Neurospora crassa OR74A: one gene and its partners. The protein of the gene in region 3 interacts with the protein of the main gene of each other region in a pairwise test. Links are inferred from orthologs where the notes say so. Each region holds a gene or a part of one and is shown on either strand. Other genes may lie near its edges. The genes, in order: NCU08663, NCU08158, NCU09004 and NCU01524.

What was found.
Region 1: the proteins of NCU09004 (region 3) and NCU08663 interact in a protein complementation assay, tested with the Saccharomyces cerevisiae proteins (2 studies listed by BioGRID). The link is inferred for Neurospora crassa OR74A from reciprocal best matches to the Saccharomyces cerevisiae genes TIF6 and NMD3.
Region 2: the proteins of NCU09004 (region 3) and NCU08158 interact in binary tests that used the Saccharomyces cerevisiae proteins (3 or more experiments, as listed by UniProt). The link is inferred for Neurospora crassa OR74A from reciprocal best matches to the Saccharomyces cerevisiae genes TIF6 and YVH1.
Region 4: the proteins of NCU09004 (region 3) and NCU01524 interact in binary tests that used the Saccharomyces cerevisiae proteins (3 or more experiments, as listed by UniProt). The link is inferred for Neurospora crassa OR74A from reciprocal best matches to the Saccharomyces cerevisiae genes TIF6 and BRX1.

The regions. Positions count from the first base shown.
Region 1 is NC_026504.1:4,178,788-4,186,861, reverse strand, and holds NCU08663 (60S ribosomal export protein NMD3), read right to left. Parts: upstream 5,096-8,074; 5' UTR 4,829-5,095; coding exon 4,767-4,828; intron 4,706-4,766; coding exon 3,208-4,705; 3' UTR 2,897-3,207; downstream 1-2,896. Other genes in the region: NCU08662 (hypothetical protein), read right to left, coding at 1-141, 454-847; NCU08664 (tetratricopeptide repeat protein 1), read right to left, coding at 5,494-6,234, 6,313-6,432. UniProt on the Saccharomyces cerevisiae protein: Acts as an adapter for the XPO1/CRM1-mediated export of the 60S ribosomal subunit. Unlikely to play a significant role in nonsense-mediated mRNA decay (NMD).
Region 2 is NC_026507.1:3,569,627-3,577,924, forward strand, and holds NCU08158 (dual specificity phosphatase), read right to left. Parts: upstream 4,925-8,298; 5' UTR 4,797-4,924; coding exon 4,750-4,796; intron 4,606-4,749; coding exon 3,336-4,605; 3' UTR 2,635-3,335; downstream 1-2,634. Other genes in the region: NCU08157 (hypothetical protein), read right to left, coding at 1-2,191; NCU08159 (hypothetical protein), read right to left, coding at 6,156-6,600, 6,664-7,812, 7,890-8,298. UniProt on the Saccharomyces cerevisiae protein: May be directly involved in signal transduction and/or cell cycle regulation. It is necessary for maintaining growth rate or spore germination. Could show both activity toward tyrosine-protein phosphate as well as with serine-protein phosphate.
Region 3 is NC_026503.1:4,188,886-4,196,652, forward strand, and holds NCU09004 (eukaryotic translation initiation factor 6), read right to left. Parts: upstream 4,315-7,767; 5' UTR 3,915-4,314; coding exon 3,880-3,914; intron 3,673-3,879; coding exon 3,514-3,672; intron 3,390-3,513; coding exon 2,843-3,389; 3' UTR 2,356-2,842; downstream 1-2,355. Other genes in the region: NCU09003 (hypothetical protein), read right to left, coding at 1-192; NCU09005 (hypothetical protein), read right to left, coding at 5,281-6,061, 6,117-6,979, 7,236-7,238. UniProt on the Saccharomyces cerevisiae protein: Binds to the 60S ribosomal subunit and prevents its association with the 40S ribosomal subunit to form the 80S initiation complex in the cytoplasm. Is also involved in ribosome biogenesis.
Region 4 is NC_026502.1:3,191,020-3,198,856, forward strand, and holds NCU01524 (ribosome biogenesis protein BRX1), read right to left. Parts: upstream 4,225-7,837; 5' UTR 4,074-4,224; coding exon 3,928-4,073; intron 3,850-3,927; coding exon 3,632-3,849; intron 3,563-3,631; coding exon 2,949-3,562; 3' UTR 2,405-2,948; downstream 1-2,404. Other genes in the region: hda-1 (histone deacetylase hda1), read right to left, coding at 1-601; NCU01523 (GTP-binding protein ypt3), read right to left, coding at 5,246-5,385, 5,458-5,538, 5,620-6,009, 6,124-6,136, 6,264-6,284. UniProt on the Saccharomyces cerevisiae protein: Required for biogenesis of the 60S ribosomal subunit.

The DNA of each region.
Region 1 (8,074 bases), on a different chromosome or scaffold from region 3:
GTGAAATCAACGTCGTGGACGGGAAGGACTTCCTTTTAGGTTTAGTGGTTGTCGTTACCGGTGGCGTTGAGCTGGATGACGTTGAAGATTCTGTAGGGATAGGTCCCGGAGTGGACGCTGCGATACCGCTAATGTCTAGGACTTCACGCAATATCAAGTCAGCTAGTTGTACTATCAATGACCGCTCGGGGTGATAAGGTGAGTCTGTTTCCACTGCTTCCGGCGGGTGTTGCTTCTTTCCCCTAGTCGTTTGCCCTTGAGTCTGGGACAATGTTATACTTCAGACACATCTGCTGTAACCTAAACAAACTTGCTTCCCATCATCTACCATCGGGCTTGTGGTCACCGTTCTCGTGGTCGTGTGCTCTTGGGAAGAAATCGAGGCTGACTTCGGTGCATTTCCGAGGGGTGGGTCTGGGGTGTTTACGATTGCAATGGAAAAACAACCCTTACCTGCAGCATGTGGTCGAACGAATCGTGACCAGGTTGCTGGTTCCAGATGTGACTTGAAACTCGGGGTAAGCGAGTGATATAGCTTCTGGCCACCACTTGCCGTCGGGCTTGTGGTCACCGTTTGCGTGGCCGTGTACTTTTTGGTTATGGTGCGTTCCTCTGTAACCGTTTGCTCCTCGTTGTCGTCTTCGCCCTCAGCGGCGGAAGGATCGTCATCGTTAAACCTCCCATCATCGCCCATATCAGAGTCACTGCCGTTACCTGACTCGTCTCCGGAACCCGAGTCTTCTCCGTGGTCTTCTTCTCGTTCTATGAGCCGTTGATGAGTGCTGTATCTTCTTTCAAAAAGTTCCGACGGAGACATGCTACTTCCTCGGTTGCTGGCTTTGTCCATCGATTGGTATGTCGTTATCATCGCTGTCAATACCACATTGCCAAGTTGTCTGATGACAGGTTCATCAATAATCAACCTTCAAGTTCCCCGAATGCTGTTCTCCTGATGAGTCGTTCGTGCTTGAAAGGAGTGAAGTGGTTTGGTATGGGTCCGGTAAGGCTTCTTCTAAGCCACATCTGTCGACTGGCTATTGGAATAATTGTTGGAAAAGAGTGAATGACGAGGGATCCAGCAACCGACTCAAATCTGTCCAGGTGTCCCCGGGAGAGTATATGTTTTGCCCATTTCCCCGATCAATCACCGCCAGATATCAAGATCACTTCTTGCATCCCGTCTATCCGGCCGGCTAGCAACAATCACGAGGGGACAAATGCGCTTATCATGGACATATAAAGACAAAGAAGGGCGTGGCTCTCTCACTGTGAGGCATCAAGTGTCCTTCAAGCAATCTTGGAACAAAGAAATGTATACCTCTCTCCAATGTCTAGAATTTTTCAAAAAACAAAGCATCAGGATCGAACAGTCGCACGGGACGGGAGCGAAGGAGAAAATAGAACAATGCGCCACACGGACGGTAATCGGGTCATGTTGCCTGCTACTGGCTGTTCATAGCATTTGTTCGTTTCCGTAAATATTTAGTAGTTGAAGAGGTTTTGTCATTTCGATCGCTGTTTCGTTCGTTCAAGAACGGAAACTAATCAATGTTTATGGTTGACTGAAAAAAAAGACCTGTTTGTTCTTGTCTGTCCGACCCCTGTTATTGCCCGGCAGCCTTGGGCGAGGGCCGATGCTGATAATGGTCATTGTAGATGAACAAACATCTCAGCATGCCGGTTTTCTTTTTTGCGCGTTTCATGCCGTCGTTTAACATGGCTCGAAGGTTTTTTTCGGACCCATGGATCTGACGATTCTCATGATCACATCTCAAAGTACCAGTAGGGGTTTAGGTCTTCGCCTGATTGTAGGCCAGAAGGAACAATGCCGGGGATGTTCGGAATTGAAGTTGTCGGAAAAGAAGTGGTTCGGGGGGTCCAGGATGATAATTGCGAACAACTCGCCCGTGGCATTTGAAGGCTGGTTGCATCGAAAAATCCTGGTTTGGGACAAAGATACTTAGCAGAAGTGCTGCAGAGTTGAGTCCTGCGCGGCGAGCAAAGCTCAGTACTAGGTATGTACCGACGGTAGGTTGAAACCGTGACCAGTTTGAACCACTCGCTTCTGCCGGCTTTTTGCGACTTGCTTATCGATTCTCACAGCGAGCCAAAATTCCTGGGAAGTATTTGCCCAGAGCTGCTCCTCTTCCCGGCAGGTAGAAAGTAACTTGCAGGAAAGGAAGGAGCAAAAGGGAAAGGGGAAGAAGTTTCCGTGCGGGCTTCGCACCTTCCTGACCAACACCCGCCAAGCCAAACTCTGACTTGAAGACGGCCCGGGGATGAGAACGATGGATTTTGAGATAACCTAAACACCAAGAAAAGAAAAAAAAGAAAAGACCTAGTCTCTGAAAAATGGGACCCTCGAGCCAAGAAACCCAACCTATCACGAAGTAAACAAACCCCCTTTTCCCTTTTTGCCTTTAGCCCACCTACTACTGAACCCCTGACCCATGTCACACCCAACCCTCAACTCCACCACACAATTCATGAACAATTCGTGCTTTTCCGGTTCAAGAACACATCCTCTGGTGACAAAAGCATAAAACAATCGGAAGCCATCCTTCATCGGGTATGGTGTAGCGGTAACATCGTTGACTCTCACTTGTTTACAAGTGTCTGTTTTCTCAACAGCCCCGGGTTCGACTCCCGGTATCCGAGCGATAACGATCAACCTTCTGGTTCTCTTTTTTTCGTTTTATTTTTTCCATCTTTTCTCTTCGTTTCAAAGTTGTTCCTTGGCCCCCTCTGCATCGTTGTGAAACCCCGCGCATTTTGTGATATGTTTTCCTTTTTCTGGGGTTGTATGCTTTGGAACCTTTGTCCGGACTCGAAATAAACCTGTTTTCATAATTGATGATGACCGAAGGCGACAAGATAAAACAGACGGATGGAAAACATTTTGAGCAGATGTGTAACACTAGGCCTTGACTGACCAAGATCATCGTACATGACAAGTTGCACATCTTCGTTGATTTAGTACTTTGACGGTCGTAGCATCCTTTCAACCACGTCTATGCATTCACAACTATAAAGACAACAGAATGTTGGATGCAGAGGGCGCCAACACGGCAAGCCCATTCCCGAATCTATTCATGAAATGCCTTAAAAACGCAAACCCTGAAGAACAGCTAACTCCCAGAATTTTGATTTACCCCGAATCCCAAAGCCATTCACATCCACATATCAGACTCCAATCAAGATCACATCCTACTCCTTATCCTGAATCTCCATTTCCTCAAAGTCATCGAGGAGCTCGTCCATGCTGATCTTGGGGCCATCCTCCTCAGCCTCCGTCATCATGTCGGTATCGGCAATGCTCATGGCATCCGCCTCCCTCTTGGTCTTGAGCGAGTTCTTGTACAGAGCAAGAGCAGCACGAAGCTCCTCGTCCTCCTCGACATCGCGCAAGAACATCTCGTACTCGGCATCCATCTTGGCCTGGTCCGAAGCCTTGGGCAGCAGCTCGCCCTCGTCCTTGGCCATGCGCTTGAGCTTCCAGTTTCTCTTTCTGTTGCGGCGGCGGTTCGGGTAGTGCTTCTTGACGAGAACAACGTCAGGGATCATGGAACCGTACGCCTTGGAGCTCTCAATCGCCTCGAGCGCGTCCGAGTTGAAGTTGGTACCCTCGAGCATGTAACCCAGCACCGAGTCACCGGCGTGGAGATGCTGGCCGAGATGTGTGCGAGTGAAGTAGACGTTGTCGTTCACGCCGAGATCGGAGGCACGAGCGACCTGGACCTCGGAGAGAAGCCACTTTCCTTTTCGTACGCCTGTGGACTCGATGTCCATAACGATAAACTCAACAAGATCGGGAGTGCCGGCAAGCGGATGGAAGGGAGCACGCCAGTAGATATCGGCGCTGACTTCGGCGGTCTGGAGGGTGTTGGGGTCGAGAAGGTTGACAGATGTTCCTATCCTGTGGCAAAGGACAAGGGGAGAAATGTTGCCAATGGACTTGGCGAGTTTGAGAGGAAGGGCAACCAAATCGTCTCTGCAAACAGGCACGATTTCGACGGAGTAGTTGTACTTGTACGACTTGTTGCCGGTGTGTGTATCCGCGGAAATAAGATGCCTCGACTCCTTGGTGAGAACTGGTACGACGGACTTCAGGAAGCTGATGAATCCCTCGGCCTGGTTCTTCTGGGCAAAGTAGAAATCGATACCGTCCTTCTCTTCCTTGATGTTGATTGTGTCGCGATGGGCCTGGTGCCTGAGAATGAGCTGTTCGAGGAAAAGGAACGTCCTCTTGTGGGTGACCTTTTGGCGGACCTGTACGGCGGCGCGCCAGACGTTGGCTGTGTATGACTTGGCGCAGTCCTTGCACTGCTGGCTGGCGACGACGTAAGTGACCTCGAAGCTTTGCTGCATCAACACACCATCCGCCACCTGATCCTGAACCGTAACCTGAACCTTGACTCTTCGCGAATGGGGTTCTGTCCAAATGAACCTGGCGTCTGTGATGCGGACCTTGCCCAAATTCCTCAGTTTCTTCAAGCATAGCGACAACAACTCTCTCGATTCGGGGGCGGCTGTGACCCAGCTGGCGGGGGGTAGGAGCCATCTGTCGCAATCTTTGCAGAAGTGGAGGGTGGCCTCGCGCTGGATGCCCTGGGAGATATCGACGGTGGACTTGATGCAGTCGTAGCAAAGAGCGCCGGCGGAGGATGTGCCATCGATGGGAGCGCCGCAGTTGCAGCAGAGAATGCTATTGGTGGTGTCAGCAATCATGCCTTCGATAACCTTCAGTCTTCATGGTCAAAACTCACGTAGCACCTGTCCTGGCAGAGCCCATCAACGGGGCCATGGCCATAGGAGCGTCGAGATCCATGATTAATGAAGTTGTGGTTTGCGACAAGATATGAATCGGGGTATCAATTGTAAAAACAAACAAAAGTCGCTATGTCGTGAAAAGGAAAACCTGGGAGTTCCGTCGCAATCACAAGTGAAGTTGCTGCGGATGAGAAAGAAGTTGACGACTGGAAATTTGAATGGACCAGGACGAGAACGAGTCGCTGGGGGGGAACGTTGGAGGCGCTGACGGGACGGTCGTCAATAAATTTCTTGATGGGCCCAGCACCAAATCGCCCCGCGCTGCATTGATAAGCAATTCGTTATCGGCTATCGGCTACCGTGGGTACTTAGAGGTATTAGCACAAGCCAGTGCAGCAGTACGTACAATTGTGGCGTTCTACTGCCGGCTTTGCCACACCAATAAATCAGCCTCAAAACTTATGGAGCTTTAGCTCCGGCCAGCTGTATTGCAGCTGTCGGGTACGAGCTCCTGATCATCTCCCCCCCTTGTCGATCTGTTGACATTGAACTGTCGATTCGTGTTGACTACTGGTCGATAATATTTTCAGGTGACTGGAAAATCAGCTTTCCCAGTCAGAGGTGCATATGGCTGGGTGACTGGACTATCAAGAAGCCATTCATCCTCAACCACGACGCTGGTAGGCATCGCAAGAGCCCTGACCCTCATTAACTTTCACAACATTACTTTTTGCCTTCGCCACCACCTCCCTGGAAATTCATGCTGTAACCACCGGTCTTCTCATCCTTCACCATCTTGAAATGGTCAGTGCTAAGACCAAACGGCTTAAGCAACCCATTCCCAAGGTCCTTCAACTTGCCCCACATTTCAGCAGTCTCCTTCTCCTGAGCAGCCTTGGCCCGGGGCGGCAGTGCTCTGAGTTGCGCCTGGACGAGCTTTCGGTCGGTAGCCGTAAGGTTGGTCATGGCAGATAGCTTCTTGTAATCCTCGATAGCCCCCTCGAGGGTGGACCATCCACCCAGCTCGCTCCTTGCCCGGGCCCGGCGTAGCAGAGCTTTGGCCCGTATCCTGGCAATATCCTCTAGTCGCTTTTGGCGGGCAATCTGCGCTTCAGTTTCCGTGACAGGAACGGCGGGTCCGGCCTTTGCTGCACCAGCGCTGACAATCTCCTCTTCGACATCTTCCTTCTCCTTCTCTTCCTTCTCGGCAGCCAGCTTGTCCTCCCGCTCTAGCTTGTCAAGCAAGTCCAGAGCTTTGGTTGCGTGCGTGATGGCATCCTTCCAAGCTTCCAGCATGAGGTGACAGGCGGCCACGTTGGAGCGCAAGACGGCCAAGGGGTAGTCCAGGTAGTTTGGACAAACAGCAATGGCTTCGTCATATTTGTTGAGGGCGGCATCGTATTTGCCCGAGGTGAAGAGGGCGTTTGCCTCTGCTTTGTGTGTGTTGGACTCAGCTACCAATTCCTGCTGAGGCGGTCAGTCACAGAGGTTTGGGCATCAAGAGGGTCTTTGTTGTTGTTGCTTTTGGTCGTGGGTACTTGCAGCCTCTTCTTCAGGTGAGAATTTGATATCGGCCTGCTTGGATTCATCATTTTCTTCCTCTGCTTGAGGATCCTTGACCTTCTTCTGCTCAAGCTTGTCATCAGGAGTTTTGGAACTCATTTTCAAGGCAGGTTTGTTTAAAGTGCTACAAGGTTGCCGGTATCGGAATGGTAGTATCTTTTCAGTAGCTCGGAGTGAAAGCTGGAAGGAGGTCTGTAGAAGGAAGGCGTTTTGCGGATGAGATAATGGGACATGCGAGATAAGAAGCCGCGCGCGGACGGAAGCTGTCAGGGGCGGGCAGCGGGCATTTACGCAGGAGCTTGGGCACGGCAGCTACCTCTAGGCATTGCAGGTCTTGGCAAAAGTGGACCTCTACACTACGTCTGTTGGTATCGGAATCCGAAGTGAAGTTATCTGGTACCAGTACTGGGAGAGGGGGGTGTTACAAACTCTTCGCGAATTGTCTTTGGACAGTTAGGAATTTGGTGACTTGTACTTAGATCCCTCGCGCGGTTTAAGTATTTGAATGTCCCAACGTTTTTTTTGCAAAATGTTCGGTAATTAATTGACTATAACTTGACAGACACCTGATAGTCCAAATTCTTAAAATGTTTGGATATCCGGACGTTTCGCTGGGCGGGATTGTTAATTGATAGTAAATTGGCAGTCGTAACCAGTTTAACATTGGGGGTTCCCGAGGTGCCTAAGTACAGATCGAAAGACCCCCCCCCTCCCAGTACGGACCTCATTCGATGAAGTCACTGCCAAACAAAACAGCTGGCCACTGACTGCACTGGATTCACTCAGTCGTAATTCCGTTCGAATACGACGTCAGTAGTAAACCGTTCATAACCGGGTAAAAATGCGGTGAAATGGAATAATCAGAAAATATTCGTTACCAGGAATTCCAAGTACCCGGCATGTTATGGGGCATTCTTAGTAGATACCTAGATGCTCTGTCTTGTCATAGCAGCCGCTTACTGGAGCGTATAGTCTATCATATAAGAGTGTTCGTCCCGTCAACCTCTATTAAGGTTAACGGATTATTAATTTATATTATACCAATCTTACATCTATCTTACTCACACTCAGTAAAATCGTATACAAGGTTCTAGGTTGAGGTTCGCGATAGCTCTTATCTTTAATTTCCTTTAACAAGATTATCGTTAATTATTATACACTATTACTCTATCTAGCAACTAATTACTTACATTATTATTCTCTATTATTACTACTTATAAAGCACATCTTCGCGTAATAAGTAGTATCTATAATTTAGTTTCAAACCAACTTTATTATTCCTTACGTTTCTTCCTTTCGTCGAAGGGGGAGATATATTAAATCTAATAACAATTTATTAAATTTTACAACCATTATTCAACTTTTACCCTTTTAAATTAAATATTTATACTTTTACTCCTTAAAATCCCCTCTTTTCTTTATTATTTTATTACTACTTATTCCAGTCTAAAGGCTAGATTGAATAATATTAAAAACTAATTAAGCAAACCCTTAAACGGCTTTTAACCTCTAAGAAGAAAGTTTAATATATAAAGTATATTAAATTATTAAATTTACTACGTATAAGCCGCAATTTTACTATAAGGAAAGATTTTAACCTTTAGCTACTAAATTACTTATTAAGGTAGTATAGTTATACTTAAATAAAGAAACCGGCTATATTGAAATTAAACCCAACTAATCCGCTAATACTAGTAATAATATTTATAATAGAGGATGGATTATTAATTTAAATATAGCG
Region 2 (8,298 bases), on a different chromosome or scaffold from region 3:
CCGGGATAGGGTTATTTCGGCGATGGAGTTCCAGCTTTTCTGCGAGAGTCAAAGGCTTGGCGGGGAGGTCTTCTTCGTCCGAGGAGTCGTCCGAGTCCGAGTCATCACTATCGCTCGTGGATGATCCGTTTTCTTCGTCCTCGTCCTCGTCATCATCTGTATCGGAAGCCGGGGGCCGTAATTGGCGACGGGATCTGATTTTCTTAGGCATCGTTACCTCCTCTTCTTCCTCTTCTTCTACGTCCTCCTCTTCCTCGTCTGACACGATCTTGTGACGATGCTTAGCTTTCTGCTTGCGTCGTCGCCTCACCATCTCTTCTTCTTCGTCTTCATCGTCATCCGAGATGACCACGTGGTCTTTGGGTCTTTCACCAGCCTTACTGCCCTCAGGACTTTTCTTTTTCTCTGTGGTCGACTCGTAGCCCATCTGCTCATCCTCATCCTCATCCTCATCCTCATCATCCGAAAGCACAACCGTGGCGCGGGCACGGCGTCGACTCTCATTGCTGATACGCGCTGCTTTCCTGGGTGGTCCATCGTGATTCTCTTCCTGTTCCGAATCCGATTCCAGAACCCGTTTTCTGCCGGAGCCCTTGGAGCGAGAGGGTCCAGCTCGGGGTGATGAAGTTGACTCATGATCCAGCGTCGAGGAATCTGACGGCTCCATGCTGGAGAAGCGAGCACTGTCGCTTGGACCGAGGTGAGGATGTTGATGGGCGTTGTGTCCAGAATGAGACGCATCATCGGAGTCGTCAAGGATTTCGATGGGGCCATTGTCAAAATTAGCTAAACGTGCTGCATGGAATGGCCCTTGTTCTTCTTCATCGCTCGAAGCTTCCTCCTCCTCTTGGTCGCTATCATCTGTCACGACGACAAGATCATCTCCACTTTCCGACCCCGTGCCCCCGTCCTCGCTGATTTCGGAATCATCGATCCCTGAGCTCTCATATTCATCGGGCTCCTCATTCACTGACTCGTCATCCAAATCATTGTCAGAGAAACTCCAGTCGGTGTTATCATTTTGTTTCTTGACGATCTTCTCAAAGCGCCGGAGGCCGGTTTCATAAGAGAAGCGTATGAGGGGTTGAAATATATTTTCTGTGTCGGTGCCTCCCTTCTGTGTGTAGTCCAGTGATCGAGAAACGAAATCGCCCAGACCTCCAGGAATGCTATTGTCGACAGCGAACTCGCGTGTCCTGGAGGGGTTGCGCCAGCAATACATGTACTCAGCATCCTCTCCAACGCCTGGCTCCTCTTCTTGGGTTCGCACAAAATAATGGCGATTCTCTCTGTTTGCGCACCAGCGCAGAAGCCTTGCCGGACAATCGGCATCGTCAATGACGCAGAACACCCTGCTCAACTGAGGGCAAAATTCCTTGAAGTATTGTTCGTATTCAGGCCGCTCCGATAACAGATAGGTATCAAGGCAGCGGCGTAGCTCGACGTCGAGCGCCAGGTTCCGAATTTGATCTGAAAAGCCTGGTATTGGCCAAAAGGGAGGGGGGGCTTTGCCGCCTAAAATCACGACGTCATTCTTGCAATCCCAACGGATCGTGTTTCGGCCTTTGCGGAAGGTGAGGACGTCGGGAAATTTCTTGAGCACATGCTCGCGGCTTTCTCGGTGAACAGCCGACATGACACGGGCGGGGGCCGTTTGCTGCTCGAGTATATGACTCTCCCAAACCTCCAGCGGATTGTTGGGCAGGTTAGCTAGTTGGAAGACCATACGGAACTCATAAACGCGTGACTTTGCCGTCAGGTCGGGGCAGAACATCTCCCAGATGCGCTGGCGTAGCTCATAAGGCAAGAGGGCAAACTTTGGGAAAGACTGGTGATGGTTGCGCCTGGCTTGGCGAGAGTTGGGGTATTCGTGGATGTGTTCGGCAAGGTCGTCATCGTCGTCGTCGTCGTCGTCATCGTCTTCATCCTCGCTTGAGTGGGACTCACTTGCTTCGAGGTCGAGCATCGACGCCAGAAGCTGGATACCCCTACTGTTACGTGTCAAGACTTCTGAGGAAAAGACCTCATCGCTGGAGTCATCCGAGTCCGAAGAGGCTTCCGAATTGGACGCCAAGTCAGAGCCGGAGTCGGACCCGGACTCGCTGTCGTTGCTCGCGTCCGAATTGTGTTTGTCTTGGTCCAGGTGATGATCTTGATGGTCGGACTCATCTGACGAGGAGTCGGTGGCCATTTTGAATAGGCCAGCCGGTTGAATTGTAATAGCACGTATTGTGTGTTGTCTTTGTTCTTCGCGTAGATATCCTGGATGTTGTTGTGGACTGTGAAGACTGAAGCTGTGGAGAGAGTGTGTGCTTGTTGATAGTATAGGTGTAGAGGTAACCCCAAGGTATGGATGGAAACGCGTGCAGCAGTGGACTCGTCAAGGTGGGGCTCCCTTTAGATCTGCCGGAAAGCTTAAAATCCCAGGGAACGGAGCCTGCCGAGGGATTGGTAGGGGTCACTCACACTAAAATACAGTGAATGTATCGAGTTCTGCCGGGAGGTGCACGGTTACACTCGGCCGCCGAGGACAGTGCGTTTACACCACTGCCCTGGAGAAGGTGCTACTGGAGCTCCCGACCTGAGTTCATGGGAACCTTGATAGCAGGCACTTTAAAAGTTCCTATCTTTCCTCTTGAGTGTCAAGTTCTGAAAACAGACGATATGCCTAGAGGTAGCGTATATTCAAATATGGACTTCACGTCACTGGTATATAGGTCTCTAAGCAGGAATCCATAAGACATCTCAAATCTACACCTCTCTCCCATCTCAGGCAAGGGATGATGGGCTACTTCATCCCCAGGTGTAACTGTATCCTCGGAGGGAAACTGAAGCATCAAAGGGCCTAAACTAGGTACTCAGCACAAGGTGGCATCTGATCCAATGCTCCTGCTGATCTTCCTGTCACCATAAGCCTTCCATAGGAAAGCCCTTCCTAAACCTCTTACGTCACTTGCCTGGCCGAGAACTCGTGTTCTACAAAGGCGTAACGCAGTGTTCATGATCCGCCACTTAGATGTCCGGAGTGGTATCTTCATCCCCTCAACGACGGGACTTTGCTGTGGACCGCACTGGGGTGTGTATACTCCTGGGTGTTTTTCCCCGACGTGGAAGATGCTCTGAACATTGGTTGACAACCTGCGAGGCCAGTACAGAAAACCCAAAAGTACGCATCCTCTTCGCAGAGGCCGTCAGGCAATGTATAACTCCTCTAGGGCATCATTCCGCGTCATACCACCGCAGCTTGCGAGGCAAGGATCGATGGGATGATCAGGATCCAAAGGCAGATAGATTGTAGGTAGCCATGGACTTCTACCCACAAAAGAAGAATCCATTCATAGGTTCTCCTTAGGTCCACCTGCCGCCCCCGCGCCCTCCCCAGCTCCTCTTTGTCCAGCCAGACCACCAGGCGGCATCCTAATCCCCAACGCCGCCATCCTCGCCGCCACGGCAGCTGCCCCACCACCGCCGCCGCCAGGCCCCCTACCGGCACCACCTGGATGCGGCGCCGACGTCGCCTCATCCACTTTGCTCTTCTGCAGCGAGAACGCCGGCGCGATCCAGTCGCCACAGCTACATCTAAACCCTTGCCATGTGTACCTCCCCACGGACGCCAGACACTTTTGGTTCGGACACGTTAGTCTGCCCTCCAGCTCGCCCTGCTCCAGCGTCGGGCGCATCCACGACAGGGCCTCGACAAAGTAATGTCCGCAGTCCCTTTCTTTGTTTCCTTTCCCCTGGTGGTGCGGGACAATAAACGGCTTCGTCGCCAGTGTTCTTCGACACTTTTTGCATCTTAGACTTAGCGACGCCGCACCACCACCCGCCTCCGCCTCTTTGTTGTTGTTCTCAGAAGCAAGCTTAGCTGCCTCCTCATCCTCGAACCGGATCCAGTCTGGCACCCGGCCAATCCTTGTCGCGTCCTCCACCTCGCGCTTGTACAGCCACCGCTGGTAGGCAGGGTGGTTCTCGACCGCGTCGTCTCCTGACTCGAGGGGACAGCCCATGGTCCACCATAGCTCTAGCTGCTCCATGAACCCGTCGTTGGGCTCGGCAATGGGTCGGGTCTGTCGTACCCAGTTGATGGCCTGCGTGACGGCGCGGCGCGCGGGCGTAGAAGGGTCGGACCGCCCGAAGCGGTGCGGGTGTTTCCAGAGGAGGTAGGCGACGATGGCGGAGACGGAGCGAGATTTGCCCATGGCGCAGTGGACTAGGACGGCGCCGGGTTTTGTTTGTTGTTGTTGTGATGTTATGGTGGTGGTGGTGATGGGTGGCGCGGCGGTTATGGCATCGGCGTCGTGCGCTGTCTCGTCGTCGCCGTTGATCTTTGCACTCGCGCTCGCGGGTGTAGGTACTACTACTGGCGCATTATCCCCTCCGAATGCTATCGAAGCTGCTTCGTCACCGTACAACCCGCGCTCGATAAAGCGGACCATCTTGGGGAAGTGAACCAAAATATCGGCCTCCTCCACGTCGTCAATGTCGATGCTAAGATGTTGGACATTGCGAAACGCGGGGTCGGCAGGGAGGGTGTAGTTGATGACAGATAGGATGTGCGTGATCTTGTTTTCTTCGATTAAGCGGGCGCGGTTGACACCGAAGATGCTGTTCTCGTAAAACAACTGTGTCAGTTCATTTCCCTTCTCGCGAGTAAAACCAAAGAAAAGCAAGGCAAGCTCTATTGCGACAGGAGGATGGGATGGATGGACAGAGAGTCCGGACGGAGATGGTCGCGTGCGACTTACTTACCCTCCTACGAAGAGGTCTTCGCGCCCATTGATGCGATTTAGCGCCATTGCGACCGGTCTCTCCGGGCAGTCACTTTGGGATATTTCGAAGGGCTTTGGGGTTCTGTTCGATTTGGCGCTACCAAAGAATCCAGCACGTCAAGTTTGTGAAGCAATCGCAAGGCGGGTTGCTCGTCCAGCTTCTGTCGCGTATCTGTAAATTTCGAAATTATTTGTTGCCCCTCATCGCTGCGGGATTCCCGAAATGGGTTGGTTACCGTGGATACGAGCCATGTACCATTACGTACATGGAGAGCTACAGTACATGGAACGGCGTACCGTACAGTGAGCGTATTGAATACGTGGTTCCTGCCAAGTGAAAGTATGTATTTGTCGTCCGTATCTTACCATCACACGGTATTGTACCCTTGACTCGGCATGAACGGGCAAACATACTCTGACCGTTTTATGCATCCAGTACCGTACGATTGTTTACCTATCGCGAACCTTGGTCATTCAATCTCCGTCCGATATAGGCGTTGCATGCTCGGGCATGGGCAGGGCAGTTGTACCCCCAGTACCATCATGCGGGTACCTTGGATTGTCCATGTGTGCTGACACAAAATGTGACAAACAGAAACCCTGGGTGTCAGAGGACGACGGATAACAGAGGGGATGGCCCAGGGCAAAGGACAAACAAAAGCGACCGACTGCCCTGCACGAATCAAGCAACCAACCAACCCCCCAATTTTGTAAAATCCATCACAGACATTTTTGGTAGGGCTGTGGCAGTGGGGTAACCTGACGGCGCCCGCTTCCTTGTAGGGCTGAAAAGACATGCAAGTTGTCTCACATTCCGCCCACAACAAACAGACAACAATGTAGAGGTACCCAACCGCCGCCTGAAAGAGCATCCATCTGATAGTAGCAAAATAGTCATTCCAGACCGTATCATAGTCCATTCTTCCTCCAAATCACTCATATTGACATTATCACATTTCGCTACTACAAGTCTGCTCTCCGACTGCTACTATTCAGCCGCTGCCGCTATCAACTCTCCCATAAAAGTACATCGGTTGCTGCTCCTGACCATGACCACACCAAAGACGATGTGTCAACTTTTGCCTGCGCCTTCAGAGATATGTCCCGCACGCAACGCCGCAACCCTACAGCTGAAAATTTCACACCCAAACTCCGATAAAAATCCTCAATCCCGTAAATGCTCCAATTAGATGACGTCCTTTCCCTCCACGGCCCCTTGTGCCGCATGATCTTTGAACTCATACCGCTCTGCATGTCGATATCTGACCTGACCAACATGTCACAGCCATAAATGATACCATCCATCACCCCCAACCGTTGCCTCTCCAAATAGCAAGGCCCAGTTGCTTCGTTGTATCCAAAATCACCACATATTGCTTTCCCGCTTCAACGAGGGACTGCTGGTCCTTCGTCCATCATGCAAGCGTTTTCAAGCATATTGGTCCATTTCCCACTCGTACCGGCATGACTGTGTTTGAGGTGTTGCCGGAAGTGGTCTGCGCGGAAGAACTTCTTGCTGGCATTGCACTCGCGGAACTTGTGCACGTCCTGTAGATGCCGGATACGGTCCTCCCAATCTTGCTCACTAGCAAAGATGCCTGCAGCATTACGTCCAGTACGGGCAAATTCCTCACCACAATAACCACACGTATCAGCCTCGCCTGGCCTCGTGCTACTGTCGTGGAATGCACGATCGTATGTCTGAAGTGCTGAGCATGACCAGCTATGACGACGGACGTGCAGGGAGTTCTGATGGCGTTCCGCCTCGTTCTTGTTCTTGAACCGGTTCCCGCAAAACGAGCATCCGTACTGTTTCTCTGCTTCGTGTAGCCTGGTGGAAAAAGTGTCTGGGTTAGTAACGTGCGTCGCTGCGCGGAAATGATGCAAAACCTACTTCAAGTCCTCTTCCGTGTCGAACTTCTTGGGCTTTTTCGGGCAGCATTCGCACATGTATGGGCCCTTGAGCTTAGCCGCTACGATATTGCTAGCATTTTTCGGAATCTCGGCAAGTTTCCTCGAAATCCCAAGCGTCCTATTGGACTGGTCAACCGATCTTTGCGTATAGTCACCCGAAATCCTAGGATGCGGCGACTGTGCCGCACCTGTCCGGCTGATCGACGATCTTGGTGAAGCGGTGAGGCTGATGGGTGTGGCATACGGGCTCCCATTACCCATCACGTCTGTCGGCGACACCCCGCCAGGAGATACACCGTTGGGAGACAAACGGCCAAGCGAACTGTTACTTGCTATGCTGCTAGCAGTCAGATTGCCAATATAACTTCCGCTGCGACTAGCAGCCGACAAGCTAGAGACAGACCCTTGTGAAACGACAGTCAGCCTCGGGGTAGGCGATCCCCTGTTCAGGCCTGACGTGTCACTACATCTATCAATTGGCGTGGGCGAGGCCGGCCGCTTCTGACCGGATTGATAGTAGCTTCTGTCTCCGCCCATGTCTCTCCCCGCATGGTACAGCTGCGATGGCGAATAGTGTGATGGCCCACTCTTGTGTCCTCGCTGCCAAGACCCGCTCTCTGTTTCTCTTTCGTTTTCCCTCTGCCTTTCCCTCCACGGATCTTCGATCTTCAGAGTCCGCATGCGTGTCGTCTCCTCCATTGGAAAGTCATTGTCCTCGTCGTCTTCGGTATTCAGAAAGCCGTCATCCAGCATCAACGTGCTCTTTGTCCTGCGCGCCCTCAGTGGCGGCGCACGGTTGAAACCGCTGTTGTCGAACCCGTCAGTAGGGCGAAACCCGACAATAGCTGGGCTTGGTTGTCCTGTTTGAGAAAACGGGCTGGGAAGCGGAGATGCCGTAGTGGGCGAGGAGGCAAACCCCGATGTGAAAAGCCCTGGCTTTGACCGGTGTGGGAGGGAAAGCTGTGGCAGACTGGCGTGGCTGGGGCGAGAGCTATGTACGTCGTTCAAGGAGTTACTGAGTCCGCCGCTTTTGTTTAACCTGTTCAACATGGTCTGGTCGATCGCCGCGGTACTGGGACGAAACCCTTTCATGGCGTGGAGGCCGAAGGAAGACGATAACTGCGATGATCTAGGAAGAGTCACGGACAAGTTAGTTTCGAGGCAATGGCAAACGACGATCGTGGAAAAGCAAAGGAATCGCAGTACCTGACACTATCAAAACTCTGATAGCCCTCGTCATGGGGGTTTTCGTGTTTGTTCGGAAGCGCTCGCCGTTCAAATTTGAATGATTCGCTCTCAAGACTGTTGGGACCGTCATTGCGCATGAAGTCGGAGTCTCTGTAGTGCTGTACATTCGGATCGACGGGACCATCGACAGGGGCAAGTCGTGGAGGAGGTAGCGGAGGAGGCGCATTGATCCCGTTCCCTTCTGAGCCGTGGATCGCCATAGGGGTCGAAGCGGTCGAAGGTGAGAGATTATCGTTTAGTGGGATGCCAAAGGGACGACTCGCAAAGTGCTCCCGAAAGCCACCATCGCGGCTTGATATAGAAGGAAGGGGCCCATCGTCAAAATCCCTCGCGGCGCTGGTATAACGGGGCTGCGTCTGCATTGGTA
Region 3 (7,767 bases):
TATGCGCGGCTTTTCTGGGACTCTGGGGGGGACGGCGTTGTGCTCTGAACTGACGGATCTGATCTTATCCAGCGATCCTCGCAGGGCTAGGGCTTTGGGAGGAGGTGTTGGACGTTCAATGGGGCGTTGGGGAGGCGGTAAGTCTCTTGCTGGCTGCGAGGGGGGCAGAGCAGGATTGGGTCTAAGGGGCATGATGTATGTAGTAAAAGTTTGGAATGCTGCCACAGTATCCCTGGAGGTCCCGTGTCCGTTCTCCTGTGTGTCCCCTGGTAGTCCCTGGTAGGCGAATCTAGCCGTTGTTGGTCTGGCCGGTCGGCTTATGTCCTGTTTGGCGGGGCCGGAGTGTTTCTTCAAGTCCAGGCGACCGAATGTCCGGCTCCTCTACCACCGTGTTATTCTAGGAATACAGAGAGAGAGAGAGTATTGACTGCTTCGGCTGGCCAATGTGCACAATATGGGGGTGATGTCTGGGGCTGAGACCAGTTTCAACGCCAAAGCAAGACAATGGAATGCAACAAGCTTCCACAGCTTCCACGGTGCGTAGCTGAGGTGGATAGGGTGGCAATTGGCGGCGGGAATCCTAAAATCGTGTTTTGGTATCCAAGATGGGGAGTGCCTTGGGTCAAAGATGAACTCGAGTCGGGCGGGCTTCGAAGAGGTGCGGAGGTGGACGGGGCGGAAGAGTAGTATATGCCGCTGGCGTGCCGTGGCTCATGCGCTTATTTCAGGGGTCCAAAGTCTTGACCGATATATTGGCTCGGGAGAGGTGTAGGCCGATGTAGGCGCACGAGATTCTATCGTCCGAACAGGCGGGTTGGGTGAAATGGAAGTTCGAACCGTGACGGTGATAGAGGAAAAGAATTGACGATAACTAAAGCCATCCAAGAACCAAAACCACGGGAAAATATCAAGGGGTTAGACCCAAATGAAAAAAAAAACTAAAAAACTAAAAAACTAAAAAACGGTCCAACGGTCTGGAGAAGTTTGGACCGAAGCGAGGTCCCGTTCTCCCCTTTCCACTTTGCCTGATTGCGCGCACGCGGCGGCGGCACCACCACGGGCAGTCCACCACACCCACCCACCACCACCAGGCAGTCCACCACCAGAGTAGGTACTTGGGGGGCACACCACCGTCCTCAACAGGGATCGCGGGATAGGAGACAGAGCCACGGGCGTCCACCTTTCAATTGAACTTCCAGGGGTTCGCTAAGCCGGGACAGGCTTCCACTTCCGTTCCTGTTTTCTTTTCCGTTTTCCGGGGTCGTGAAGAAGCTAGAGATTCCCAACCTTCTTTTTCGAAGCCTTGGCAACCTGACGTCTGCAGAAACCGACAAGGATTCCACCGATTGGCCCGCACCTGCCCCGGCCCGGCATTGCGGACTGCGGCTGCGTGGCACGCACTTGGCAGTGTTTTTGTGCAATTGAAGTTGCAGCACTTGTGCATCTTTTGAGATCTGGGTCGACTTCAATCTACAGTTTTTGTTTTTTCATGAAGGATTTTCTCACACGCTTCATACACATCTACAACAACGCTGAAAACTAATTAGCCCTAAGCCTATAAGCTGCTCGTTGCGGAGAATCGAGATCGGACCTGCCGATTGACTATCAGACGGGTTCGTGGGTCTGTGCAATTTCGTCGAATTTCACGTTCCTGGAAATTGACCAAAAACCCCCCAGATTGACGTTTCAAAAGAAACCAATATTCCCGAACGATATTTCCACTCATGACTAAGTCTAGTAGTTTAGTCCACGCATCTTTTGCCACAAGCTGCATGTCTCTCAACGGTCAGGGCATCGCGGAATAAAGCTGCGTGGTTTAAATTATTTCCACCCATCACATACCAAGCCGTTTCCAGAAGAAGAAGCAGGATTCTCGAGTGAGACATTATACGTAGCCGCCGTGGATTACCATGTCGTTGTGTGTGGACTTGGACTCGTGGTAGGTATTATACGCATTCTATAGCCCCCCATTCTATGCATATGGACATGTCAGGTCAACAAAGTGTTGACGAATGCTGGGTCCCACGAGTCCCTGGAACGGACAACCACATCATCGTGCATGATGAAACACTGCATCACCGCTGCTTGCTGGCAACCGCCGCGATCGCAACCAACCCTGGCACTCGAGGCAGCATCGGGTGTGGTACATGCCGTACTGTGTTTTTGCATGATGGTTTTTTTGTAAACATTGATGATGGGGAATTGTCTCAAGAGGCATCTCGCTTGGCGTCTGGATTTGCATTCGTAAAAGGAGGTGATGATCCCGTCATAGAGCATAGGGGACGAGCTTGGAGTTTCAGTTGGTCTTCTTCACTGGATGACAGGTGAACCAAGAACTACCAGTACAACCCTAACCCTTGGCAGAAAACCGTGCCTTGCCCCAAATCCCAAAGACATTGGTCCCGCGTTCTGGACTTATATGTCACATGTTAACTGAACCTCGAAGAGTATCTATACTTCGTGATTATTCTGAACGGCCATGGCCATGTCAACTGGAAGCTTTTTTTCATTCCAGATGGCATTTCCAAAACTCGAAGCAATCTCGCAATCCAGGCCGAGCCACAACCACGGTCATCTTCACACATATCCATATCCTCACGCAAAAACGCCAGTCATAGGAACCATTCATTGGAAGAAAAATCGCCTTGTTTGCTCACGCTTGAGCATGCATGTCAGAAACGACCCATTGTCGTTGGTATACCTGACAAGAATCCCGCCTCCTACACATCCATCTCTCGCCTCCGCTCCCTCCTGCCTCACACATTGCCTTCCTTTCTCCTTGCCTACCAAGCACAGATAACACCAACTCCAAAACAAGCCCACAAAAGAAAAACCATTGGATTTAGTAGAAAGACTCGACCATGGTATCCTTGAGGCTGGAGTTGATCTGGCCAGGCGCGGCACCCTCTCCTAACCTGAACACGCTCTCGATAACACTCAGCTCGGGCGCCGTAGTATCAAGACCAGTGACGGCCATCCAGTCGTTGACCACCATGCCACCGCCGATGACGTTGGAACCTCTGTTGACGGAGCCGGCCACCAGCGGTACCTGGAGCAGGGAGCTGAGCTCGTCCTGGTCCTGGATGGATGTCTTGGGGTGAACGAGGCCGCCCTGGTTGCTGAGCGCCATGTAGCTACCGACGAGCACGTTGTCGGCAATGGTCTGGCGGAACACCTCGACGCCGAGCACGTCGGCAATGATCTCTTCGGTCTCGCGCTCCAGATCCGGGTGGATCAGCGCCGTGTGGTCGTTGCACACAATCACGTTGCCCAGGGCCGACAGGCGCTCCTCGATACGTTGTATGCGCACGTCGTCGGGGAGACTGTTGCGCAGATGTTGCAGTTCCTGGTCGCTTGTGGTAGTGGGGACGAGGAGACCTTTGCGGTTACTGTAATTTTTTTTTTTACTCGTGGTTAGCTTACCAATGTCCCATAATCAGGTTCTCGGTTGCGCCCCCTCCGATACTTGGGACTAAAAGTTCAATCAAAAATGCAGAGGGAAGAAGCGCCTACCCAGCTGTCAAGCGACCGATGATTCTTGTGCCGGCAATGGTGGTTCTGCAGATAGGGATAACATCTTGGAGTTCGGCCTCGAAGACGCTGTAAAAGTTTTCGCTGGCACCGACGGCGACCAAAGCGTAAGAGTTTGTAAGTGTGGAAAAGACTCCAACCCTATTGAGAAAGCAGACAATGTTAGCGCGTCTGCTACTTGATATCCCGAAGAACTACCCTCCGCCCCCCATTCAGATTCAAGAGTCGCCTTGCTGTCGCGGTGTCGAAGCATGGTATTGATGTCGTCGTCGGTGGCAGGCGGGGCAGATCTTCGATTTTCGCATCGCGATTCCCCATCTCGGAACGTGGAGGCCAAGCAAAACTTACTCGTTGGAGTTCTCGAACTGGGCGCGGACAGCCATGGCTTCGGTTCTTCTTGTGTAGTGCTCCTAGTGGGCTTCCTTTACTTGGTGGGTGAAGTGGTATTCCGATAGAGACGGAGAGATTGAGTTTATGCGACTGAAGCAATGGAGATTGGAGGTATAGAATGCCGTTTTGCTGCTTCGCGAATGACGACTGGTGGGGTGGGCGATGGAAGGAAAATATAATCTGGATTCAGACTCCAGGCTATGTGTAAAGTGGGGCGCTATCAAATCTGGAATCTGGACTGAGGAAGAACCACACAGCTTTTGGAAGCGGGTACCAAGACCCTTACAGATGTATGTACCAGTACTTGCCTTCAACAACAAGACATGGACGCATACATGCGGCTTACCAACCCAACCTCTCTACTCAAACCCTTCCATTTTTGCCATCGAGAAGTATGAGTTTGTCGAAATTCTAGTGCACTTGCATCGATACAATTTCATTTTCAATCACCGGTGACTCAGACACTTTGGAGCAATCCTCGTAAGGCTACGCGAGCAGTGCCTAGCCACCCTCGGGATGGCAAAAGGCTTGCCACACAGCCCACTATGTTACAGCGACATGGAAGCTATCCTCTACGTCTACCCGACCCCATTACCGCCTCCTAAAGCTTGTTTGCCCAATCAGATTTGCAGTGGCTTTCCCATTTGGTAGTGTACACTACCGCCATTTTCATTATGATTCATCATTGTTGCGATATGCAAGGTACCCAAAGAGGCTCACTTGCGGGGCGTAGTAGAATAGACTGGGGCTTGTTTCAACAGTTCAACTTCTGCAAAATGTAATGAAGTTGCTGTTGCAGTGTACTGTGTAGAAGATCACAGGATCCTGGTGGTATAGACATAGATGCCAGAAGCCGACATACCGGACAATTCATTTTGGCTTATCTTTTTTTGTTGAACTCGTCCGCTCGGCTCATGATGAACCCTAACCCACGGATTCACAACCTCTCCTCGTCAGCCCATGTAGCGACAGGACAACAATGAGAACAACCAAAGTGTGGCTAAGGGAGCCCGGTTGTCATTTTGGGTTATGAGCTTAGCAGAGGGAACGTATGGCTGGGGGAACATCTGGTTCAGTTGACGAGAAAGCGCACTTTGCCATAATGCCGTGAGGTACCTCCATATAACCCGCTGATACCAATTCCCATGACCGTTGAAAGCCATCATCCAAGTATCATCGCCTTTAAACAAGATGCATTTATACCAAAACTCCAAACTCCCCTGCCCCCGGCTGACCGTCAAGCACTAGTCTCGTGAGACCAGTAGTCTATTTAAGACGACGCGAACATTTATTTTGCCAACCCCGTTTTGCCGGATGATGCATGCCTTGCAAGAACTGATCACCTTCTTTGACTCAGTCTCATTGCAGTGTTTGGGCTGGAAATAGCTGCGGACCAGCAAAGCCTTTCGCTATAACCCCCTGGATATCAATATTTTTAAGAGGGTCAGGATGTGGACTCCACATCTTGAGCAGGATGTACCGCGCGCTCACCGGCGGGTCGAACTTGATGGTACACTTGTTCTTGTCCTTCTCAATGTAGAATTGGGCCAGCGGAGACATAAGCGCTCCGCCAACGGCTCGTACCGCCTCCTGCGTGGCCACCTGCGAGGCTTCTCGCGCTCGTTCAAGTTCGGGGGTTCCCGTGTCGTATTCGTTACGCCAACTAGCAGAGTGTCGCGCACGAGTGAGATCAGTCCAGTCCAAACCGCTGGGGTTCCATGGGTCTCTTCCGTCATCACTACTGTCGCTTTCAAAAGGCAAAGCACCAATCCTGTTGGGGGTTCGCCTACGCCGCAAATGATTTTCGTCTCCTTCGCTTTCGTCATCACTGCATTCGGTCGTGACATTGAAAGGCTGGGATGCAGCCGAAAACTCGGGAGGTAGCGCGGCTGCTGCTTGATCTTCATCATCGTCATCATCATCATCTATAGTGTTGATCAGATCTGATATGTAATCGCGTCGATATCTCGAGGGGTAGATCCGTCCATCGTCGTCGTGTCGGACCGAGTAGATTGTTGGAGTGTCGCGTGATGTCCGTGGTCGTGGATTCGCTGGTTGCTCATACTGAATTTGATATTGCGCTGTACATTTCAACAGGTCATCATGTTCCATCGAAACAAACACCATGCCCTCTCGGACCCTAGAGACCGGTCAGCAAGGCAATCGAAAGATATCCGAAACAAGACAACACATACGGCTGAGAGTAATGTGAACCAGGTGCTTTGATGACCAACTCTTTCAAGCTGAAGACAGTACCACCGTGATGTCGTAGTATGATGTTGCAGCGATTAGTCCTTGTGCAATAAACCGAAGCGTCGTCTTTCAGGATGTTTTCCGCCACATAGGCCCGTCCATCCCTGAACAAGCCACCATCACAGCTAACAATCTCCAAAAGAAGCGGACCGGGTTCCACCTGGCCGTATTTTCCGTACAGAATATTTTTGTAGCTTGGCGATACCTTGTCGGAATCCAGTTTCCGTCGCTTTGCGCGCCGAAAGTTTTCTAGTTCTTCCATATCCTCAGGAGGAGTGTTCCTACCGAAGAGCGAAGGCTGTGAAGAGCTGGACGAGTCTTGAAGCTCGCCGAGCGTCACGTAGCTGCGCTCCCTGGCAGGGTTCATATGAGTTCGGTGCCTCTCCATTGCCCGGTCAAAGGGCGAATAACGGGAAGGGCGGCCGTTCTGGCCTCCGGGCGCCGACACGCCGGGTCGCACCCTTGAGCCAAGCGAACGAAGGGACGGAAGTAAGGGTGGGGTAGGGGTCGAAGAAGTTGAACTTGGAATGGCAGGCGGCAAAAAGCTGCTAGAGGGTTGAGAATCCTGGTTGAATCGCCGGCGAAGAGACCGGTCAGAGCCGGAGGACATCCTGGACCGAGCGAGCACCCTGGAGGCAGCCTGTTCGAGAGCTAGGTTGCGACTGATGCGGTCGTGGAATCTTTCTAGAGCCTCAAATCGTTCTCGGGATATCGCCGTGGGAGATCTCGGCGGAAGGGCATCGGGTTGGGCGTTATTTTGGCGAGATTCCGAATCCCAGGGCGACCTTAGAGGTCGACTGTCGGACTAGGGTACAAGAGAAGGATGAAAGTTAGTACTAAGGTGTAGTACTCGCAGGTAACAAGACACCAGAAAATGTGTTCCTGCAGCGAGGTGGTCTGGGTGTAAATCAGAAGCTTACAGCTTCGAACTGGGCTCATACGCCATATGTCGAGGCGCCAGTGCGTGTGGAAGGCGCAGAGAAGCGGCAGGTTTGATAACGCGGCGATATGTTAGGTTTGGATGGGGGCCGTGGAAGCGCATATCAGAAAGGGCAACTTACCATGAAGCTTGAGGGCACAAAGACCAGGGGGGGGAGGCGCAAGCGGGGAGGTAAAAGGAATAGAACCCGGCTGGGACAAGACAGACCAGCGTGCGAAAGATAGGAGTGGCACAATAGCGCTTGAAAAAAGAGATGGTTCAAGTAAACAAAATGTGCAGAAAAAGAAGGCGAAAGTCAAGGGTCAAATGTCAAATGTCAAAATGATCACGGAGGAAAGAGTGTTGAAAGTGGAAAGGATTGTAGAGTGGCCGATCATCTTGTAGTGTACACACTAGACCCGGCCGTTGCACGGGACACCCTGAGACGAGAGGAGGAGTCAACCACGGGCGGGCAGCTGGGCGAGCCAACACCATCCATATCCATATCCACCGAGAACCTAGGTACCTATTCTGGCATGGAGGGTAATAGGTACCTTGTCCTTCACTGACGTTGTGGGAGTGTAATTGTTAGCATATACTTGATGAGGCGCCATAGTGGCCATGATGTGCAAGTACCACTTTAACTGGCGTCATTTGGCATCGGGATCTACGAT
Region 4 (7,837 bases), on a different chromosome or scaffold from region 3:
CACCTCCAGCTGAGATCAGTGCTGCCTCGAATGTCATACTGCCGACGTACAGGGAGTCTCTCCCTTGATCCATAATGGTCGAGAGGCGCCGGAGCTCCGATGTCGGTTTCCGTGACAGATCTTCCACCCATCGGAAATGCTCAGGGTGGTGGACGATGCAGATCTCCTCCTTGGTTGCGTGTCGGGCCGGAATGCGCCACATGTACCTCCTCGGGTCGGTGCGGATGACCTTCTTGAGATCCTCATCGTCGCCAGTGAACACAAGGCCTTCCTTCTTGAATATCCTCATGATATGCTCGATACGAGACGGGTCTTCGGGATGGTGGGGATTTGGACCAAAGTCGGCATTTGCGTGAAGTTTCATACGATCGTCGTAACAGCATCCTGTCGGAAGGAGACCTCTTCGCTTTAGGCGAGCCGGATAGATGAAGGGATCTTTCTCGTCGTCCAGTTTTTCCTCCTTCTCGTCGTTGGCTGGCGCGGACTGATCATGACCATTCGGTTCTGTTTTGGTGATGCCATTACTTGTTGCCGACACGTCAATTGTGGCAGGATGAGTGTCTTGGCCGTCCATCACGATATCATTGTCGTTGTCGACCATCTTGAAATGGTCCGTCCAGATGGACGACTATGTGAAGGATAAAAGTAATAATGCCGGTGTCAACTCTTGAAACCTACGTGACCGTATTAGTAGGACGCAACGTGAATGACTAGACAAACGAATCGAAGGCATGTTAGGATGTCTTTTGGGATCTGACAACAAAGCAAAAGAGCAGTTGCTGCTTGAGAGGTAGAGGCATGGGTGCTGCGGTAGAAATAACAAACAATGAGCAGGGCAAGGGGGATCTTGGCTGTCCTTGGGCAGGGAAACCCTTAAACCGCTGAACGGTAGACATCGGAGCTTCCACAAGCGCAGATGGCAAGCAGCCGCACCCAAAGCCAGGCTGAAAGTCAGAGTGGCTGTGGAAGTTGAGACTGCAAGAGACTATTGTCAAGAGAGAGAGGGTAAGGATATGCGAAGCAGTAGATATCCAACAGTCATCGCTTATGACTTCTGCCGTCGGGAGCACGTTATCCGGGGTCTTTTTCATGAAACATAATCCAAGGGAGGAAGAGTTATGTGTCAGGTGGGCTGCGGGAGTGTATATATGGATGATTGTGTCGACCACCGAGCGTCTCAGGAGTGAAGCGGTTATGTCAGACCTGGGCCGGACACACTTGCGCCGCGAAGCTTTCCAAACCCTTGAAGCAGAACCCCAAGACATGAATGACATGAATGATATGAGGATATCTTGAGCTTTCCAATGACGCCTTCTCCAAGCAGATTCCGCGTGGCCTGAGGGCGCGCTGCCGCAATCAAGGTGGAGAGAAAGGAAGGAAGGAGCAACACCAAACCGGCGGCCGAGATTGGGGATGGAACGATGGGTGAGAGTGGCTTACCTACCTAGCTTATGGAATAATCGCCGGTGCATGCCTTTTGGAAAACGAAGGAAGCCAAAGATAAAACAACAAGAAAGACCGTGTATGTAATCAAATCCAAGCGAGGTATGCGCAAAAGTGTGCCGAAAGAGAAAGGCGGAACAATGCCGAAGGATAGTGGGATGTAGAAAGTGCCCGTTCAAGTGCTTTGCTGAGGCGTTTGGGGGGGACGGATCGGGAGGTGTTCAGTTTGTTGTTTGGTTGGAGGTGTGATTGTGGTGTTGAAGTTTAGAAGGGACTGGAATTGAGAACTAGAAGCAGCGCTGAAATGGGGCGGGAATTGGCACTGGCAATCTCGGGGCCAGGCACTACATGCCACCTAGTTAGGTGCCCAAGATACGCTAGGCAGGCACGCAAGGGGGCCTAGAGGTAAGTACCATAGGCCGGAGCCTCCCGCTCTTTCCCCCACTGGTGTTCTGGAGGGAACAGGTCCCCTGTAGCGAACTTTCACAATGAGTGAAGTGAACCCTCTACAACCTATCCTCAACTCTCTCCTCCGATATCGATGAGTGAACCTGAGTCATGACCAAAGTACTCCGAGTCGTTTTTTTTGCTTCTAAATTTTGATCAAAAGCGTTAGCCATACGTGTTCAACATTAGACTCAAGCCATTTGTCTTTCGCTTTAAGGAGCGACGTCCTAGGTATCGGCTCCAGTCCTTATCTCTTGTTTTCAAGAAGCACCAAACTCGCGCCAACTCCCAGGCACACTACATGACTTAGACGACCCAAAGCCCCTGAGAAGATGGCTAGTCCGTCAGAAAATCTGAAATTTGGGACGATGTCGCCCAAAGCTACCTTGGGACAAAACATGGTACTTTTTCTTCTTCTTCTCCTTGAGGAGTGTACTGAAGGTGGTGATATCATCCCAACAACTCAACGAAAGAGACACCTCGTGTCTCTTATATATATGGAAACAACCCAAATCATGGAGCAAAAATGTGAGACAATATCTCACAGCGCAACTGCATTTAAGGTAGAGTCTAGGTCCTATGCGAACAACATCTCCCTCAGGAGTGTGGTTATAGACAGTCAACCGCTAGTGAGGTGCCGAGCAAAGTACTTGCTCTCCTACCCTTCTTTGACCATCTCCTTTCAACACGACCAAGACCGGAGCCAGGACGGCGTTCATCACTCAATCTTGATCTGATGTGTCCGTTTTCGAGCCAGCACCTTATACGCTGAGTGCTCATCTACCACTCGATCATGATCCTCTTTCCCAACTGTCAAAAGAGGACAGCTCGTCCGTCTCACACATCCCCACGAATACTGTAATGTTGTACAATGCAAATCGATTTCCTTTCTTTTTCCCGAACCAGACCAAACCAGCCAGCCAGCAAAAGTACAAAAAACTCCTTGATTACCCCTAAACCTAAGGCGTGCGTTGCTTTGATGTGTCGCAAGCGAACAGACGTGATGAAATCGTGTTGTGAAAAGCTCTCTCTCTCTCTTTCCCCTCCTCCTCCTTTCTCTAAGCAAAGAGCTCCCGGGTATCCAAGACATCCTTCTCCTTCTTCGCCTGGGCCGTGAGGGTCTCGAGCTTGCCGAGCCTCTCCTTGACCTGCTCCACCCTGGTGTTGTGCCTGGTCGCCTTGGCCTTGCGCAGCTCCGAGCGCACCTGGTTGGGGGAGATAAAGCGCTTGTTCTCGTAAATAATGGGGCCGCCGAACGCGCCCTCCTGTATGATGATGGGCGTTAGGACGAACCGAGGTCCGATCTCAACCAGACTGACGTCTGTGTCCTTGAGCTCCGCGTTGGGCGCGCCCTTTCTCTTTTTCGATGATGACTTGTCGCTCTCGGGGACAATGTCGTTTCCTTCGCTGTCCTTCTCGCCCTTGGCCTTCTCCACTTCTCGGATCTCGTAGTTGCGTACCCAGATCTTGCCGTCGGCAATGCTGAAGCTCATGACGTGGTCGATAAACGGTTTTGACTTGCGCGCGCCCTGGGGGACGCCAAACATTTGCAGAAACACCTCCTTGATGACGCGGTAGTGCGGCTCTTGCTCGAAGGCGAGGTCGAAGGAGAGGAGTGGCCTCGAGCCCTTGAGGCAGTTACCCGTGAAGTGAAGCTCTTCCATGGTGTGCACTGTGCTTTTTGTTAGAACCCGATTTTTCCTCTTTCACAATGCGTATCTCGGATATGGATAGTGCTCACAGTTTTGGGCGTGGAACTTGACCGTAGGGCCGTTAGGAACCTTGCTAAACCACATGTACAGATCCTTGCCCTTGCGCGCCTCGAAGAACATGACGTTGTTGCAGTTGTAGAGCTCGGCAAGCTCGTTCAGTTGGTACAGCTTGGACTTGGAATCGAACTTGACGTCTTTGCGGCCGTGGGGGAGCATCGCTGCGAGATCGTTGAGGAGATGTCTGTGTCTGTACTCGGGGCGCAAAGGCGGTTAGCAATTGACCCTTTCTTCTTCCATCTTGCAGGTATGCAGGGTCTATATGTACCTGTAGGTAACGCCTCTGGACGAGAGAATCAGAACTCTCTGCTTGTTCTTCCGAAAGCCGCCATTGGTGGTGGTGGTGTTGTTGTCGTTCTCCGTGTCCTCGACCTTCTTGGCGCTCTTCGAGAGCGACTTGTAAACGGCGGCCATTTTCTTTTTGTTCTTGTCGTTCTTTGGGTATCAAAATCGGGCGAAAAACAAGGGTGACTGAAGTTGGTGGTGGTTGTGGTGGAAGTGATGGCAGAAAAACGGAATGCGGATTGCAAAGGTGAATTCAATGCTCCAATCCACGAACGTCGCGGGCGAAGCGCAGTGATGGAGTGCAGGCTGTTCCATCTCAAAAAAAGTTCGCCGGCCAATCGCAGCCCCACTCCGATAAGCTTCTCTTATCTTACTAGCGTCCCTGTTCCGGCCCCCCTGCTTGGAACAGCTGAAAGGCGGTCGGCGGTCTGGGCAACCCGCATTTGTCCCACTGATGGACCCAACCTGGAATCCGGACCCCCAAGTTCTGGGGATTCCATTGCCTACACACACTGTCCAAGTTCCACGCGTTCTTCTTGTCTGCCCTACAGTGGGGGATGGGACGGGACTGGCCTCTTGTCCGCACTCAAACCCACTTCAACCGCCTCGGGTGACGCGATGGGAGTAATGAGGGACAGTCGCCATAATCCATCAGGCAAGCCCAGATGTCTTAATTTGTATTGACTGTTTCCCGCTGTCGCACATAATCAACTTGAATGTCATAACGAGATCCTGCACGATTATCGCTACATAGGTACTCACTCTCGAGGTACTCCTCTTCTCCCACATTGTGGATGCAATAGATGGAGACCTTGACAACGTGGAGCAATATGTACCAGGTTGAGTTAAGGGCTGTTTATCGCCCATAGTTCATTTCAACTAAATAATATCTTTCGTAATCCATGCGCAAGTGATGGCTTCGTTAACCACATTGAGGAAAATTCCAACGACCAGCACGGGGGGAAAAGGGAAGAAAGGGGTAGTAGTAGTAATAACAACAAAAAGGAAAGGCTGGAAGACGAGCATCATGATCCTTTCCCCCCTCCCCAAAAGCCCAAAAAAATAGAGAGAAAAAGAAAAACAGACCATCCCATCGGCGACCGTGATGTAATAAGACTGGGCAGGATCCGTCCGTACTTTTCCCCCGATGCTGCTCTTCATTGCTCATCATAAGCCTCCATTGCTTCATGTCAGACATATGTGACGCCGTTGTTGGTTCGGCACCCTGTTGTACTCTGCTGCACCCTGCACCTCAACCCTTCAGGGCCACTCGGTTCCCGGCCCGGAGAATCAAGCACCTCCTAACAGCAGCCAGACTTCGCCTGGGGGTCGTTCGCGGTCTGACTGAGCGAGATGCTCTGGCCAGACAGGTTTTGGTGGCCCTCGTTGGACCCGCTGGGGCCGTTGTCGAAGTTCTTGGTCGACACGATCTTGTAGATTTCTAGATAAATGATCGCATGTTAGCGGTAGGCTCGCGCCAGAGCAGCAGCTGTAGGCTTTGGGCAAACGTTACCAGTCAAAATGTTTTGGAACGCAAGCTCGACGTTTGTGGCGTCGAGAGCCGAAGTCTCGATAAAGGATAGGTGGTTTTCCTCTGCAGTTCTCTCTGTCAGTCATCCTGGCGATACGGCTTTCCCAAGCGACCATGTCATCATGGCTGTGACGCGCAACGTACCGGCAAACTTCTTGGCGTCCTCCGTGGGTACGGCTCTCAGATGCCGCAAATCGCTCTTGTTACCCACGAGCATGATGACAATGTTCTGGTCGGCATGGTCGCGCAGTTCCTTCAGCCATCGGTTCACGTTCTCAAACGTCACGCCCTTGCTGATATCGTAGACGAGGAGGGCGCCGACAGCACCGCGGTAGTAGGCAGAGGTGATGGCGCGATAACGTTCCTGGCCAGCAGTATCCCAAATCTGTGCCTTGATTGTCTTGGAGTCGACCTGAATGGATCTGGTAGCAAACTCGACGCCGATGGTGGACTTGGAGTCGAGGTTGAACTCGTTACGGGTGAATCGACTGAGAAGGTTGGACTTTCCGACGCCCGAGTCTCCGATGAGGACCACTGGTAGCGGGATCTGCAGTCAGTAACTGATTTGCCGCTGCCATCGTCGTCGTCGCCGTCATCGCATCGTCGCGACTGCTTCAGAGCTTCTGGGGAGGGGTATGCTTGCGGTACCTTTGAAGAGAAACTGTGACAGTTAAAGGCTGGTCAGCGCAAGCGGGCGGAATAAAGGGGGCACGTCCTAACAAGGATATCGAATCGACGCAAGATGGATGATAGGCAGGCGGACGGCAAGAAAGAGGAGGCGGGCTTACATCGTACTCGTCGTTGGCCATGGTTGCGGTGTGTGATGACAGAGGTGCTGGAGGCAGAGGGTATGCTGGAATTCGGCGAGCTGGCGATGGGCTGAGGCAATGTCTGGCAAGTGGTTGTCGCGTTGATAGTTGTACTGTATGCAGACAAAGTCAAGGGCAATGCGATGTATGTGAGTTCGGGTTCGCTCAGTGGTGGTGTCCAGGAGAGGCAGGGCCAAGGAGGGCGGTGCGGCTCCCCTCGAGTGGGTCCGAGTTTTTAGCTAAGGTAACCAAGTGCAGCCAGCCAGAGGGTGCTGCAGTGCCCCTGAAGGGAACGAACGAATGAATGGAATGCGCCTGAAGTCACATTTGCAGTGAGCCACGGCCCCCTCCATGGGCGGGTGAAGAGACCGGGCTGTCAATGGACGCGGGCTAGACGGCGTAATATTGGAGGGTCAAAGAGCTGCGACAGTAGCGTTAACGGTGGACTAAGTCCAATGGCCTGGTGCGGACAGCGGTGGGCCAACAAGTCAGGGATCGCGGACGGCTTTGTCTACCTACTAGTATCCCAGGACAATGGAGATGACCGTTTTGTTTGGGCCAGTAAGGTGGTGGTTGGGTGTCACGGGCACTGGAAGCTCTTTGAGGTACCAAGCCCCATTCAGGCTACCTACCATGGAAGTACCTTTTGAGGTGTTTACCTTCCTCTACTATCTACCTCTAGAGGGACCTAGGTCTCCTTTACTTGAGGTTTCCTCGCGACAAACAGTCAAGATGACGCGCCCCGAGGAAGACACGAGACATGGAAGACATCGACAGGAGTTATTGAGAATTACACGCATGCGCCGGCATTGCGTTGACGATGCTCTGGACTCGGAATACATTAACTTGTTGTGTTCAAACAAGACCCATAAACCCGTTCCTGGCTAATCCTTTGTGTTACTGCCCTCTCTTTCCCATTTCCACTTCCTCGTATGCGCTCTTCCCAGTACCTCCTGTCTATGACATTCAATGGGCTGCCAGCCCCCCCTTGGGACCTCCACTTATGCCCTTTTACTAGGTATCGACTTGTTACTTCAATACCAGCTGTCTTCTCCCGTCTTCCTACCTTAGCCAAGACCACAGCTAGGTAAATGGAATGGCCGAAAAGGGTTCGTACATACCTAGTACACAGCTTACTTTCACGTGCATAGACTTGGGCACGAACGGATAGCATACAAGTAGAGGTACGGAATCCACACGAGCGTAATGGTCCAAACACAGTACCCATCCAGGGATTGGCATGGTTTCTGTCTCTCATCTTTGGTTAAATATCTTTATTTATTTCTTCCAAATCCAACTGTATTGACAGCAATAACGGCGCTTGGTGTACTCCCTCGCTTGCAACTTTCCAAGCTCATTCTTGTCCTTGAGCAGATCGAAGGCATTATTGGTACACTACCTACACAGCTGTAGCAGTGCCAAATCAAAAAGCCCAACGAAGTTGATTTCAACAACGAAGCATTGGATATACTCACCTCTAGGTAATGGCGACACCAAAGCTATCAGATGCTTCCACACTAAAGGTACCTAGTTGACGACTTTCAACCAAGACC